Styela clava: one gene and its partner. The protein of the gene in region 2 interacts with the protein of the main gene of each other region in a pairwise test. Links are inferred from orthologs where the notes say so. Each region holds a gene or a part of one and is shown on either strand. Other genes may lie near its edges.

Region 1 (7,872 bases), on a different chromosome or scaffold from region 2:
CGAAATTTGACCTCGATACAGGGAGTCCACGGAACAATATTACATCTGGTGCAGTATTGCAGCTGCATTCACTGCAACTTAAATACCGAATTCTTGGTAAGGCCGAGACAAAAATCAATATATTTAGTTTCGTAAAATTTTGAGATTGTGAGATATAGAAACAAAATTTCACAATCGGTCGTAATTATATTCTGAATGAATTGTAAAAACTTTACAAATAGAAACAGCTATTATTATACTTACCAATCCTGATGACTGAAATAACAATAAAAACAAAAACTGACAGCAACATTTCAAGTTATTGACAAACTAGTTTATGACATGATGACCAAATCGGGTGTGGCGAATTGGTAAAATAACGTGGTTTAGTGTGTGCAATTTTATAGAATATTTTGAAATGTTTGTTTTTTTCATCACATGTGAGAGACATATTTGCTAAAGTTCAGCACGAAATGCTATTTTGCAAAGTGCTTTGTATGTATTTATAATATTATAATACTCAAACTCTACTAAATATTTCGTAATATTCGTAACATGCAAGATAAATTTTGTTTATATAAATGAAATATTTGGGCAGAAGCCAGTATGGACCGATTCTATTTACTCACCTCCTCTGAAGTTGGCCAGCGCTATAAGCAGCAGAGTGTTGGCGATTTGTGTGGCTATATATCGTCACGCTAATAACCGAATTGCGTAAATCATTTTTAGCAGTTTTGAGAAAAACGTAAAAAACTTCCTAATGATATTGTTATGCCATTGAGAGTCAATAATTTGCCATGGTTCAATTTTTTGATAAATTAATCTGTATGATGCAGTTAAGTGACTTCATAATGGCGCACTGTGACTTAGGCAGAAATGTGTGTATGACTTGGGGACATACGCAATTTTGCAACTTTACTATATGCACCAGTCCTGAAAACTAAACATTCCAAAAACTAATGTAATTTTCAGTATCTACAATGTCTAATCCCCAAAATAGCTAATCAGATTTAATTACATTATTTTTTATGTTTAAAAAATATAAATTTCATCAATATAACACGTTCTGCCCACCCACCGAAATAAGACTAAGATTAAATATAAAGAATAAAACAGCAATGCATCCAATATAAAAGCCAACCAAGGTGAATTGGACTCGGACAGTGAATATCACAAGTGCACGCCTTCCTATACTGTAGTATAAATTCAAATTAATACTCGCTAAGCTAGAATCCGAGATGCAAAAACTCGAAAATACTTCCCCGAGGTTATTTTGCCTTTGTGACGATAGTTCTGCGGTAACAATGCTGATTCATTATGACGAAACAATTGCATAAATGTCATGTCATACTAAATCTCCATTTTTATGGGTTTCGGGATTCTTAAAATGAAATCTGAGTTAACAGACAGGTGCGCAGCATTACCTAAATACCTATTTTATAAAAAAAAAACTCAAAATCGCCAAAAATGGCTTACGCAATTCGGGTATTAGCGTGACGATATTCCAAATATCTACGTGTGCGATACATTCAACACATTTAGGTTTCTCCCAGCATTTAATTTAGGTAACAAATAGGAATACACACACCGAAATCAACGACTATTGGACTATTTATTATACTTATACAAAGAAATCTCTATATCATAACATAAATTGAATGCGCTACTACCAAAATTACAATCTTCAAGTTAGTCTTAGTCAGATGTATAAAACAATGAAATATGTGGTTTTGTGTTTACAAAGTCTGTAATCGTAAAGACTTTAACGAGATTGGAAGAATTTAAGGCCAGTTCTATACTTGTCTACGGATACGAACTCCTTCCATCAGGTTGACCATTGCATATTTGTGGTTTGTATAACTGTTATACTATATAAGGAGACAGGCGTTATCAGGATAACACAGAATAAATGTATGACGTTCCAACATTAAAACTGAGGATTGTGTATTTTATTGCATGTGTTGAATCATATACGTGAAGACCCGATGCATTGCATATATATAATTGTTGAAATATTGTTATTGTTCAGTTGGTTGCAAACAAATTGAAGAGAATAAATAGGTTTACAACTGTTCCATTTTGTAATGCAATACTTCCAATTGCACTGCAATAAAAAATAAACACTACAGTGGTTGCAGGCTTCCCCGGTAATATGTGATTTTCACATCACAAAATCGGAATTTTTTTAAATCAACTTTTTGAAGTCCCTCAACTTTTCGCTTCCTCGCGTAATAATGTGTTTTATTCCCACGCTTTCTGAATGATAGTCTAACTATTTAGCAATTTATTACGTCACGGGAGACAATTGATTTCCAACGTCTTAATCACATCATTTTCAGTATTAATTGTTCCATTAAGAAAACAAATTAGGAACAAGAAAATGGCAACAAGAACACCGAAAGAGAAAACAATGTTCTTCGATCACAAAAAGCAAAATGGCTTCCCGTGGAGCGTAACAAAGCGAAAAGTATAGACGCGAGCGACAAGTAATTCCCACCGCATCGAAGCAATTTGAGAATGGGGAGAAGTTGGTTCGTATTTCCCCGGGATAGACAGGTATTGGGATGAAGTCTCTCTTCGCGGCCTCGTTCTCGCCTTCCGCGTCACACTGAGCCTTCGAGACCACCTTCGTTCCCACAATTAATATGTAAAATGTCACGAGTCTAGAGATCGTCTGATTTTCTCATGAAATTTCTATAGTCGTTCTCAATTAGCATAATATTTCGTTGTTTGTATATTGATTGTTAACCAGACTACGCGGAGAAAAAATTGCACACCTTTATGAATTTTTTTCTTTTTCTACATCGTCACTTACCCATATAATTGGATTAAAATTGTCGAATTCGTCAGTTTAGTGAGTAATTCTTATATATGCATCATTTGCAGAGTTAATCAAGTTTGATGCATAGGTGGTCGTTCCCCCATTTCTAGCATTTCAGTGTCAAAAGCAAGCGGCGTAAGGTATATGTATCAAAATATAGAGACGATATAATATTATGATTTCTGTATTAGTGGAGGTTTCGTTTGTAATTGAAAAATTCAAATAAAAATAAACATACGTATTAAAAAGGGTGGCTTATGCTGTACATGTGCTGTAATGATGTAGGCCTACATGTTTTTGGTCATAATAAAAAGCGAGAATATTTGACAAGTTGGAACACTCGAGAAGATATCCGCCATATTGTTACCAAAGAATCGTGGTGTTAAAAATCGTCATCAAAAGTTTGCACTCAGTAATGATTTTGATTTTCTATCAGAGCTCGTTCGGGTTAATAAAAACAAACAGAATATTGTTTAAAGTACTGTAGTATTTATCAATCCACATTTCAAACAATATTTGTAATATTAGCTCTATGGGATGATGTGAAAATAAAAATTATTTAACATATTTTGCATTTGACTTTGCTGTGAAATAGAATTCTAAAGGCAATTTTAATATTACTAAAGAAGTCATACAACTGGCTTTGATTTTCGTGTATGTTGAATTATCAGTTATTGTTTATGATGAAAGAAAAAATCGTTTGATGGTCTCTTTCATTTTTTTCTTTTAAATCCAAATATAATCCCCTTTTATTGTTATGTATTGAGAGAGAAGATTATTCTCTTTTGGTCTTGGTTTACTACACTGCGCTACATTCAAAGAGGATTGTAATATAATTGAAAGAAGGCTTTTACTCTACGTCAAAGGTATTGAGCTAAAGTCATTCTTAAATTTAGTAATTTAGCAACTAACCCGCTACTAGAGACAGAATGAGTGTAGTGCTATTCTTTATTAGGATTCTATCTGTGGTTAATTCTTAGTATGTACAACTGAGTTAAATATAGTCACAAAATTAGGAAAAATTTGGTACTGTTTGTAACTTCAAAAATAGGATTTGCATCTAACGAGAAGGACAAAATTTTGACACATCGAATCAATCAGGTTTGTTGTTTGAGAATTTTTGTTTGGATGATACGCTTAAATCATGGCTCGTACTATTGTTTCCTTCGAGAGCAGGTAGCTTTATTTCAGAAACATTGTATTTTGGTTCATATATTTGTTTTGTTTTCTTTGTATTTTACGTGTTGACTTCATCGAACAATCGTTTTATTTGCACAATATTCTGTTTAATAATTTGTGCATGGTAGTTTACTGCAATTTAGAATTTTGCTCGTTAGAGCAAATCACTGTCACAATGCATTGTACAGAAAACACCGTGAATTCTACATCGGGTAAGGTTAAGGCTGCGACATAATTCAATAAAATGAGAAATAACTGTTTATAGATAGAATAAATAGGAAAAATAGACACAATCTTTCGATTACTTAATTCCGATTTGATTAAACGATTTTGATTGCTATATACTTTTATGGTTCTATTGGCCATCGAGGCATATCATGAAATTACATTTGTATTTCGCATTTAACCTCAAAACAAAATGAAGTCCAAAAAAACAAAGTTTGATTTCAAAACTACTTCGAGGTGAGCAAAACGGATGATAGAATCCGCCATTTTGTCTCAAAATCATAGAATGAAAAAGGTAGCGAGGGAGTGACGCAGAAACGCAAAACGCTGATGCGAAATTTTAAACAATTGCATTTATAGCACAGAATATGGGAAAGAAAGGAGTATTTTGTAAGAGTACAATAAGTGTATACGTCTTAAAAGTTTAGATTTTTACGATATATAATCCATGAGTGGATAATAGGTGCATGATAAGTTTTAAAACCGACAGATGCAACCATGTTTTGCCCTGCTTGTGCCAGTTTTTATGTTTTTACTTTTACTAAGAAATCTTTTTAGGTCAATTAATTCTTTTGTATTATCCTAGTTTCAAAACAAAAAGTCGAGTAAACCTAAATTTCATTTGCTTCTGACCATCGGCAATCGACTGAATATCAAATTCGGAAAAACAACGTTCTTTGGTCAGCCTTTTGTATAGAGATGGCCACCCACCAACTTTGTCACCAAGGACCGATGATGTCAGCTCATATGCCGTCTTATCAAGCACCATATTCATCAGCAGTAGCATTGTGTCTCGGAGGTGATGGTTTATCACATACAGGTAAACAAATACGCGATCATAGACTGGCTATTTGATAAGGCATGTATTTTATATGTGTTATGGTGTTTAGGGATACATCATTGCTATCGTCTAATCTTTATTTGTAAAAAAAATCAATTACGTTATCATAAAGACATACGTCTTGCGTTAGTGGTTGACAATATGGGGTGTTAGATATAGAAAATATATATGAGTATGTTGAAACAATAACCAATCTTTGGTACACTGATAACTGGCGCTAAAACGTTTGATTTTGATTTCCATTTAACCGCAATATTGTTGTATATACAATGTGATAAAATGCTATTTATGGAAACCGAAAATGGGCAAATTAATGAAAACAAGCGGTAATTCTAGTAAGCTATCACCAATGAAGTAACTTGCGATTGTGGCAAATATATCAGGTAAAAATAGCTAACTTCCGTTTTCATACATATTCATATATATTGTCATGCAACATTTTTTGGTTGATAAATACCAATCAAATTGTAAACGATGTTTTCGAAACTTTGATTAAAACTGGAAGAATAAATTCAAATTCACGCTAGTTCAAAATACCAATATCGAGTACAACCCATGAAAAATCGCGTTTTATTATTATTGTTTTTGAGTGTTTACAACGTTTGATCTATCACCAATTTTTTTTCAACAAAACCAGAAAACGCAGCAATATTCACATAACATTGAATGAATTAAAACTCTAAAATAACCCACAGCTGCTCAATATATCCAAACGTTATGTAAAAATATGTCATCTTATAGAAACCACTCAACGAAATATGTTTTGTCGTTTGAAATCGCGAAAAACAAACAAATATAACAAACCGGATCATGATAGATGTCCCAGAAATCGCTTATCAATGAGAACAATATTTGATTTTATTACATACTTCTCACAGACAATTTCAAAATAAACATGTTTTATGTAAAATTGATTGTCGCTGACCATTTTGTGATAAATTACATTTTAGGGGCGATTTTTAAGACAATATAGGTATATTTCGTCGATAACACCCATATTTTGCTCAGATCAGAATTGTTTTCTGATTTTGAATGATTGTCATGAATTTGGAAATATTGTTTCATCAACATAGAAATTTAGTACACTCATAATACAAAAAAAATTAAAAGCTATTCGATTTTAATCCTCGTGGATAATTTTTCTAAGAAATTCTCCATATTTTATAGTCATTTTCAATCTAGGTTTCTCTAGAAAATTATCAGAAATAGTTATGGGCTACGTTAAAAAAACTGCAGTACAATTTCTCATGGAAGGATAAATTACGAGGTATCCCGCAGTGCGCCGCAAATAAAACTATTGTTTACGGTCAGGGTTTTTGGCAGCTAAGAAAAACTTAACGTATAATGATACTCAGTATGTATGATTACTTTATTGTTTTATGGACTAAGATATAGTTTTTGGCCTTAATTGCACTACTCAAAATACCTTGTTTACGACATCCCACAACAATAAATCTAAGAATTCAAATCCTTAAGATTTTGTCTAGTTATCCCAAGTTAAGTTTGGAATTATAGATAAAACGTATTAATAAATTTCGAGTTAGGTGGACATAGGTGAAATTAATAATCCAAATCAAGTTACATTTGAAATAATCTCAATTGTGTCTTTTTTGCAATTTGCTTTATTCACAAATATTTTGTTAAATATCCCGGTAATGCCATTTTGGAAATATGAATGTGTAAATCCCAATCTGTTTATATGAAGGACGGTATGATACTTCCCAATCGATTCTAAATAAAAAATTCTAATAATGAAAGGTTACTCGCAATGCTTCTTAGAGAAAATACTTGTTATTGACCAGTAGCCTAAGTCTATTTAGGCAAATCAATTTTCAATTTTACCTCGCTTAACGACGAGACGACAAATTGTTAATTATCAGGCACGAGTTGAAGATATAAGTCGATATTTTTGTATATGTGATTTTACAAATGGCCTAATAAATTACGAACTAGATTAAAGCAAAGGTGGTCTTGCATTCACAGGTGTCGATTAAACAAAGAATTATCTTTTGAAAAAAAAATTGTTTTTATTTATTAGGTGGAAAACTTTGTCAAAAATTATTATTGCTATTTGAATAGTTGAGTTATTTTAAATTTTGAGTCTACTTCTGAGATTTTAATTAAATAACTTTTGGGTATATGCCGAGTCTAGCTATGCAATTTTTCGTCCGGGCCATGATTACCCCCACAAGTGTGCCCCCTCTCAACTAAATCTGGAGTCATACGTGAAAACCAGTCAACATTTATTATAATTTTAGGGAAAAAAAAAGATTTATTATTTTTACACAATAGGAGCGTTTCGGTTATTATCATTCTCTATTTCGGTTATAACAAAGATTGTAGCGCACGCTTTTCAGACGTGTGGGGAATCTTAGTAGTCTTTGTCTTATAGCTGAAAGAAAAACTATCAAATCATTTCAAAGATCTTGGAATATAATATTCTATATTACTAATCAGCTATTAACCTGTGGGTTGCAGATTAACCCCTTAGACACCTTGAGATTATCCTAATTTACCAGCACCCTGCTTTGTAATCTTTATTTCAAATGGAATTGTTCGACAGTCATCTAAAAAAATTAAATCCTATTATACTATATATATCACCAAACCGAGAAGTTATGTTCGATCATAGTTGGGCGCGAAGTAACGATGTTAAAAATGTCTTTTCGGGTCGTTCATAAATATAATAAGCTTACTAGTTTACGGAATGATTAAATGTTTTATCCTAATAATTGTGGGAACTCGCGTGTTATTATTTATGAAAGGTTGGTTTTATTTTTAAAGATGGTTTTGTAATAATAGCTAACCCTACTTTTATCCAACTTGT
Region 2 (7,033 bases):
ATTTGTTGTAGAATCAAAAGCACTGGTTGCTTTTCATCAGCATCTACTTGGACCTTCTCATCAGTGGTATCACCCTTGCGGCGGTCGAGTGTTGAAAACAAACTTGCCAATATCTCTAAAATATGAATAATGCTGTTTTTAGTTGGTCCTGATGGTGGATCTTCCGACAATGCTCGCAACTGGTGCATATGAAGCATGAGAACACTCTGCAATCGTCTTATGCATTCATCTTCTGATAAAACAGAAAGCATATGACCGACTGATTGCATTAACCAATTGACTTCATTGTTTTTCAAAATTCCTTTAGTTAATGCATCTTGAGCTGTACCTAGTATTACTTCTGCTTGTGGTACAAGATGTTCTTTACATTCTCGAGTTATTCTTTTCAAAGTCAGAACAGTGGTCATTGCAAGATCATGCGTTCGTATGCATGGAAGAACAATAGGAATCAATAAAGATAGATACTGGGGGTTATACACCAACCATTCAGTCAGAGCTCCAATAGTGTATAGAAGAGTATCAGCCAATGTTAGATTTTCTACTTTTATTGTTGGCAAAACCTGTGAAAGTTCATTCAAACAATCTAAATCAACATCCCAGTCTGCCATTGATTCAACCACAGAATGTATAGCAAATAATATAGATTCAGTTTCCTGCCATTGGTAATCTTGCTTCTCATGCATTGATTTAACACTTTGTAGAAGTTTACCACAAAGAAAACGTACCATATTTGTACCAAGCATTTCAAGAATATACATTAATGTATCAGAAATATCAATTCTGTAAATTCTATGCTGCTCTTTTTCATCACTCGACCAGTCAGTATGTGAAACAGAGACTGGATAGCTTGACTTCTGTACCAATGTCTCCACCAAATGATAATAAATTGGCTGGATTTGAGGAAAAATAGACATATCAGATTCCGGTAAACTTCTCACTTCATCTTGTAAAGAATACCAGAAAGTAAAGGTAATTGGGCTTCCCATTTCTTCAGTCGGATATTGTAAACGAATACCGGTACATTCGGCAACCATTAAAACAAGGCCAAGACCTATTTCTGGATTGTTATAATTCTCTAAAATCAACTTGGTCTGATTTTCTGCAAGTCCGCTAACAATTTTTGTAATTCCGATACAAACATCTGCATCTTGATCTTCAATTGCCTGATGAAGCATTGGACGAAGTGATAAAACCTTAGGAATGATTTCCTTTATTGTATTCACATACTTATGAATACCTGGTGAGCAAAAAGTATTTAAAAGGCATTCAACACAATTATCAAATAAATCAGGGTCATCAATAAAAGATATAGTTTTATGAAGAATGTCTTTATATTCATTGATCGGTATTCCAAGTATTACCCAGCTTGAGAAACATTTCAAAATTTTTCCATGCATTTCATTGAAATCTTCAGAATTCATTAAATTAGAAAGTAATGGTAGAACGTGAGGCATTCCTTGAATTAACATGTGTTTAACAATTCCTTTTTGATATTGCTCCATTGTTCTGCTGTGATGTTCCTCAGCTAGGACAGCGAGGATTTCCAGTAAAGCTGAGCATCTTTGCATTGGAGATACATTGGCAGTTTCATCTTCTTGTAGTCTTTTAATAATATCAGAAATAACTGTGTCCCATTTTTTCATGAGTACGCAATTCATAACAAATGATGAAAATGCTACGCAAATTCTGGTTAAAATGATACGATTTTGTGGAGATACACATAAGCGAAGAATCTCAGAAAAAAGTCGTTCACGTAAACTATCAATTTCATTTTCAGGAACTTCATTCCACGATCCTGATATCTTTGAAACCAAAGCGCTCGCTCCAAAATATTGAACTTCAGTCAAACGGTTTGGTTGCAATAGATCCCATGAAAACTGCCAAGCCTAGAAATAAATAAGTTAAATTATTCTTCATTATAAGACCAGATGTTGATCGCATACAATGGGGCAATGCACAAATATATATCGACACCTCAAAACCAAACAGTGCTAAGTCCACTTTTCCAAAAAATGACATTTTTCAATTGCTGATTTTCCTGGACTTAGCTCTACATTTTGGTCTATTTGCCTTATCTCTAGGTGCTCTAGATCTCAAGACAGCTATGGACATAACCCTGCTTTTTTTAGGGCATTTGAGAACTAAACAGAGCTGTGTCTACTATAGTGGACTTAGCTCTGGATAACTGCATTGTAAGTTGGGGCTAAGTCCGTTTTTTGGACATAGCTCCTCTCAAAAAATATAATACAAAGCGCTAAGTCCATACCAGCCTCTAAAATAACATAATAAAGAGGCCCTAAGTCCAATAAAATTGTTTCTGGTCCAGGAAATTGAGAGTCAAAAAGGGTTAAGTCCAAAAAAACCATCCCCCAAAAAAATTGGGGCGGAGCACAAATTTTTTTATACCATCTAAATATGGCCTTCATTGTCACTTTGGTGGACCATAAAAACTAGACATCCTCGATGTAAGGTATTAGAGAAATAAAAAAAAGAAACAAAAAAAAAAACGTTTTTTGCGTTTTTCTCAAAACTAGAAAAATGGACTTAGCCCAATTTGGATTTCATGCGTCGATATAGCCAGGCTACTGCGGCCTAATTACAGGTTGCACTCACTGAATCAATTAGTAAAAAGTTATGAAATTGCTCAATCAGTCAAGTCTGTCTTGAAACGGTTGGAAAATTGAAAACAGTAGCTTCATTAGCTAAGAATTTAGCAAATTTTGTCCCAACAACAAAAATAATAAAATACCTATTTTTAATCTGTTATAGTAATACATCTGAGAATCTAATTCTCGTTTATTATTTGGGAAGCTACTTGAGGTTGAGTTCCACTACTTGATAATAACATTTGCTCAAATTGTTTTATCAGATTAAAATAACCAGTGAATAGAGCTCTTAATATATGGTACTTGTTTTGATCTTTGGGCAAATGTTAGCCATCTTTGTGCTGTGTCTTTTGTAGATGAAACAGGATCATAGTACAGTTGATGTAATGCCTTTTCAATGTTATCCACAGTAAATTCAGGCGCATTATCGGTGGTCATATCCGTAACAACAACTGAACAAGTGCTCTGGTCTAGATGAATTATCTTAGTTGGTAAATATAAACACTGTAATAGAAGAATAAAAGATGCAAATTATGAGACAAGAAATTGTAGTATCTTGAAATTTAGAAAATATGTAAGCACTAATGGACGAAATCCATCCCTCAGAAAACAATTACCGATAAATTGAGGAAATGGGATAAAAAGGTTATTTTTCCATTAAAAACAAAAATTTATTAATAATGGCCCGAATACTGGCATCGATTATGATATACCAAATTTTCAGACAACAAACTGAAATAAACATTTATGAGAGGAAACTGGCCACAGACGGTATGTAGGTATCAGTTGGGGTTACGCAAGAATAACTCTTCCTCCATGCTTTTGCTCTCGTACATTTTTATGTGCATAATGCAAATAGGCTGTAGCAGGAATAAAGATGACTGTGATATGTGATTTAAAAGCTTGCTGCAGTTGAAATATGCGTGTCTGAAGAAGTTTGATCCTGGTCAGGAAAAATCTTACAGATATAAAATAGTGTTGTATGCAACGAAACTCTCTAATCACATATAACACAAGCAATTCACATAATTCCAGGTTTTACATGACATAAAGCTCCGACAGTGTAACAAAAAACAAGATGGGACTATCATAAATTCTTCTTCTCAAGATAAATCTCAAGTTAGGGATGCAATACCTAATGCAACATATCCATTAAATACATAGGTACCTAATATGAAAATATACCATCTATGATATGCATGAAATACATGAAGGCCTGCTAGTTAAACTATTGAACTATAATAATGGAAATCGTACAATGTCAAATATATTCATGACTTTCTGGTTTAGCCACCGATAAAAAAATTTGAATTCTGTGCTATGAAAATTGTTAGTATATAACATCATGGTAACTCTTCTTCATGATGATGTCTGCGATGCTTACGGTGCTTATGATGCCTCCTTTCTTTTTCATTATCTCTAGATCTAGTCTTTGGTTCTTTTTCTACCTCTGCTTGTTGTGGCTTTGATTTCTCACTTTTCTGCTGATTTGCTTCATCGTCTTCTCCGTCCTTTACAGTTTCCTCATCCTCTACATTACTAGATACCTTTTTTCTTTTTACAATTAAAAATAAACCCACAAGAGCTATAACTAAGAGGATAGAAAAAACGACTGAAAGTATGGTACCCATGCTACTACATTTCTTCGTTTCTACTGCACTGTTAATTTTCTCCTCATTCGATCGTGACTGGATAAATCTAGCACTGCTTCTTAAACTTTGAACTTTAGCAGGAAGTAAGGTGGACACACTTTTCTTTAAACTAACTTCATGGAAGCTAGGGGTTGAAGTCACTAAAACAATGCTATAATACCAATCATGATTCAGAGCAAATTTTTTAGATTCATAATCATTACTAGGTGAACCATCATTACCTATATTACAACTACTAAGTGTGCTTTGATTAAGATATATATCAATATACTGTCCCTGTATATCTGATCGCTTCAGAGCTGCTGCAATGAAGTCTTTATTTAATTCGTTTGAACTTTCACTTGCTTGCTTCAATTGCTTTACTGAATATCCTGTACTTGTACTAGATAGCATTCGTTTTTCCGTTGGTCGCATTATCAGGAACAAACAACTGATTGGCCCATTCTTTTCTTTTGGAATAGTTAACCTTAATGAGTATTGTCCATTGGACATGATCATGAGACCTGGGCTTGGGATAAAGTCGGGGCCTGATGGTTCTGTTGTACATTCCCCCTCCGCTTCCACAGCTTTGCTGAACCTCCCACAACCTGCGGTCTGCACCGTCACAGTGTATCGCCGATTTGACTCCACTTTGAAGGAATACTTCGTTTCAATCTCAATGTTAGCAACCATTTTATCAATATAAGCATCATCATCAGCGTCTAGGTCACTTGCATGATTTGATTTCACCACAATTTTAAAACCTGTATAATCTTCCTTCGGCATTTTTTCCGGAATCATCCACATGACTTGGCATTCTTTTCTATCGGTATTGTACTGCATTTCAACATCTGTCGGACTTGTAGGTCCACCAAGAAAATAAACCTCTGGTATAACACTTTTCACTGGACCACAACAACAAACTGTCGTGCACATGCTGAGCTCAATTCTGTAATTTGTATATGGTTCAAGTCCATCCTTTAATTTAGTGGTTTTGGGAATACCCATTTCTCCTGCACGGACTCTATAAATTAGCGGAGGATCATCAAGATGAGTATCAAGGTTAATCAGTCGGAAATTATAATTAAAACTTGAAGATAAAAAGCTATCAGAATTCCAAGTAATGCTAATAGAATCTGCACATTTTTCGTTGGTTTCGGGTTGTAGTGTCAAAGGCCGTTGTTTATTTTTCAAAGTACACAATGCATGACCTTTTTTGTTACAATATTCTAAACTGATTTTAAATGGATCATCTTTCATCACACCTGCACACATTGGTGCTCTGTAGGCAATCTCTGCAGCCTCCTTCATTACCACCAATGCCTGTGCAGACCAGTCTCCAAAGAATCTGGTAGTTTCGTCATCATATCGAAATTGATCAGGTCGTTCTAATAACCCCAGCCAGTACAACTCGCTTTCTCCCAATTTATTATCACCATTGACGAAATTTGCAATAGCCAGTTTGGTACCTTCATCATAGAATTGTGCTAATTCCATCTTTGACTTTTGACATTTTTCTTTAGCCTCCTTACGAGGAACAAACGCTTCTTTAAGTGGATTGATAACTGCAGATTCTGACCCATAATAACCACCTGCCTTCATGTTGCAGGTATATGCAGGTTGCAGGTACTGAAGTGCAATCCATAATATCCCAATCATGCCTGTGATTTTAAAAGTCATTTCGCCAGTGCATTGAAAACAGAAGTCTAAATCAAAAATCTGATAAAAAAAAGGATAGTACATGCTAATTACATGATCTGATCAAGATTATCTGAGTGCACCAGCATATGAGACTTGGTGAGCTATTCGTTCGTTTATCAATATGCTTGTCAAATATGTGGGAAAAATTTATTGTGGGCCTGTAAATAATGGTTGACCTCTTCATGGGCTTCGTAAAACCAAGAGTTTGATAACTCCGGACCTAAGCCAAGTGATTACTAAATTAAGTATCAAAGTATTATTTTATAAAATATACGCCACTATGACATCACAGTAACGTAATAACTAATAAGGCCCTCCAAACTTCATTAACTGTCACCCAAGATGAGCAGACTATCACCCGAAATCGAGCAGACTACTTCTCTCATTTTTTATCGTACCGATCCTGATATACAAGAGATCGCTATCGTTCAGACGTTTGGTGAGTTTGTTATCGTTTGAGAAGATGCCATTTTGAGTGATCGTAGCTATCAGGCTATACTTTAACAAGCTCTTTGATGTAATGAAAAAATCTTTGGCTGACAGAGCCAGGTGGGGATTAGGAATAACATATGGCTGTGCCCTGTTAAATAGAAGCACTTACGTCGTTGAGTGAACATGTGTCAAGAAATCATATATTCAAACCAGCAAACTTAATAGAGCTAATGCTGCCAAATAATATGTGGTCATAATCTAATAAATACTACTGTACTAGCCTATAATATGATCAGTCAATCAAATTTATTCTGGTCCCTCTGGTATAAAACAAAACTAAATGGACAAATAAAATACAGAGGACCTGAAAGACGAGCATAACTCAAGAAATAGTTGAAACTTACAAGTACGCGCCCGTCTACCAAAACAGTTGAAGCTCACAATTAATAAATACACAAGATACAAAATCGAGCAATAACTTGGAAGTTGAAATTCGATTCAAGTTGGCCAGAGTTTCCAAATTCCAAGAATGTCCCGATATTGGTTCAATAAAACAAACACTCCATGCGTCTCACAAACGAGGGGCGTCTACCATAAATGCAGATCTGTCATATCGTGCCATGCTTGTCTCATATATAATCTAAATTATTCGCAGCTGTCAAG

Evidence for each region. The genes of interacting proteins can lie anywhere in the genome.
Region 1: the proteins of importin-13-like (region 2) and paired box protein Pax-6-like interact in a two-hybrid assay, tested with the Homo sapiens proteins (2 studies listed by BioGRID and IntAct). The link is inferred for Styela clava from reciprocal best matches to the Homo sapiens genes IPO13 and PAX6.

Annotation. Positions count from the first base shown.
Region 1 is NC_135254.1:16,097,561-16,105,432, forward strand, and holds the start of paired box protein Pax-6-like, read left to right. Parts: upstream 1-4,763; 5' UTR 4,764-4,903; coding exon 4,904-5,024; intron 5,025-7,872. UniProt on the Homo sapiens protein: Transcription factor with important functions in the development of the eye, nose, central nervous system and pancreas. Required for the differentiation of pancreatic islet alpha cells.
Region 2 is NC_135257.1:5,485,587-5,492,619, forward strand, and holds the start of importin-13-like, read right to left. Parts: upstream 3,111-7,033; 5' UTR 3,045-3,110; coding exon 2,910-3,044; intron 1,887-2,909; coding exon 1-1,886. UniProt on the Homo sapiens protein: Functions in nuclear protein import as nuclear transport receptor. Serves as receptor for nuclear localization signals (NLS) in cargo substrates.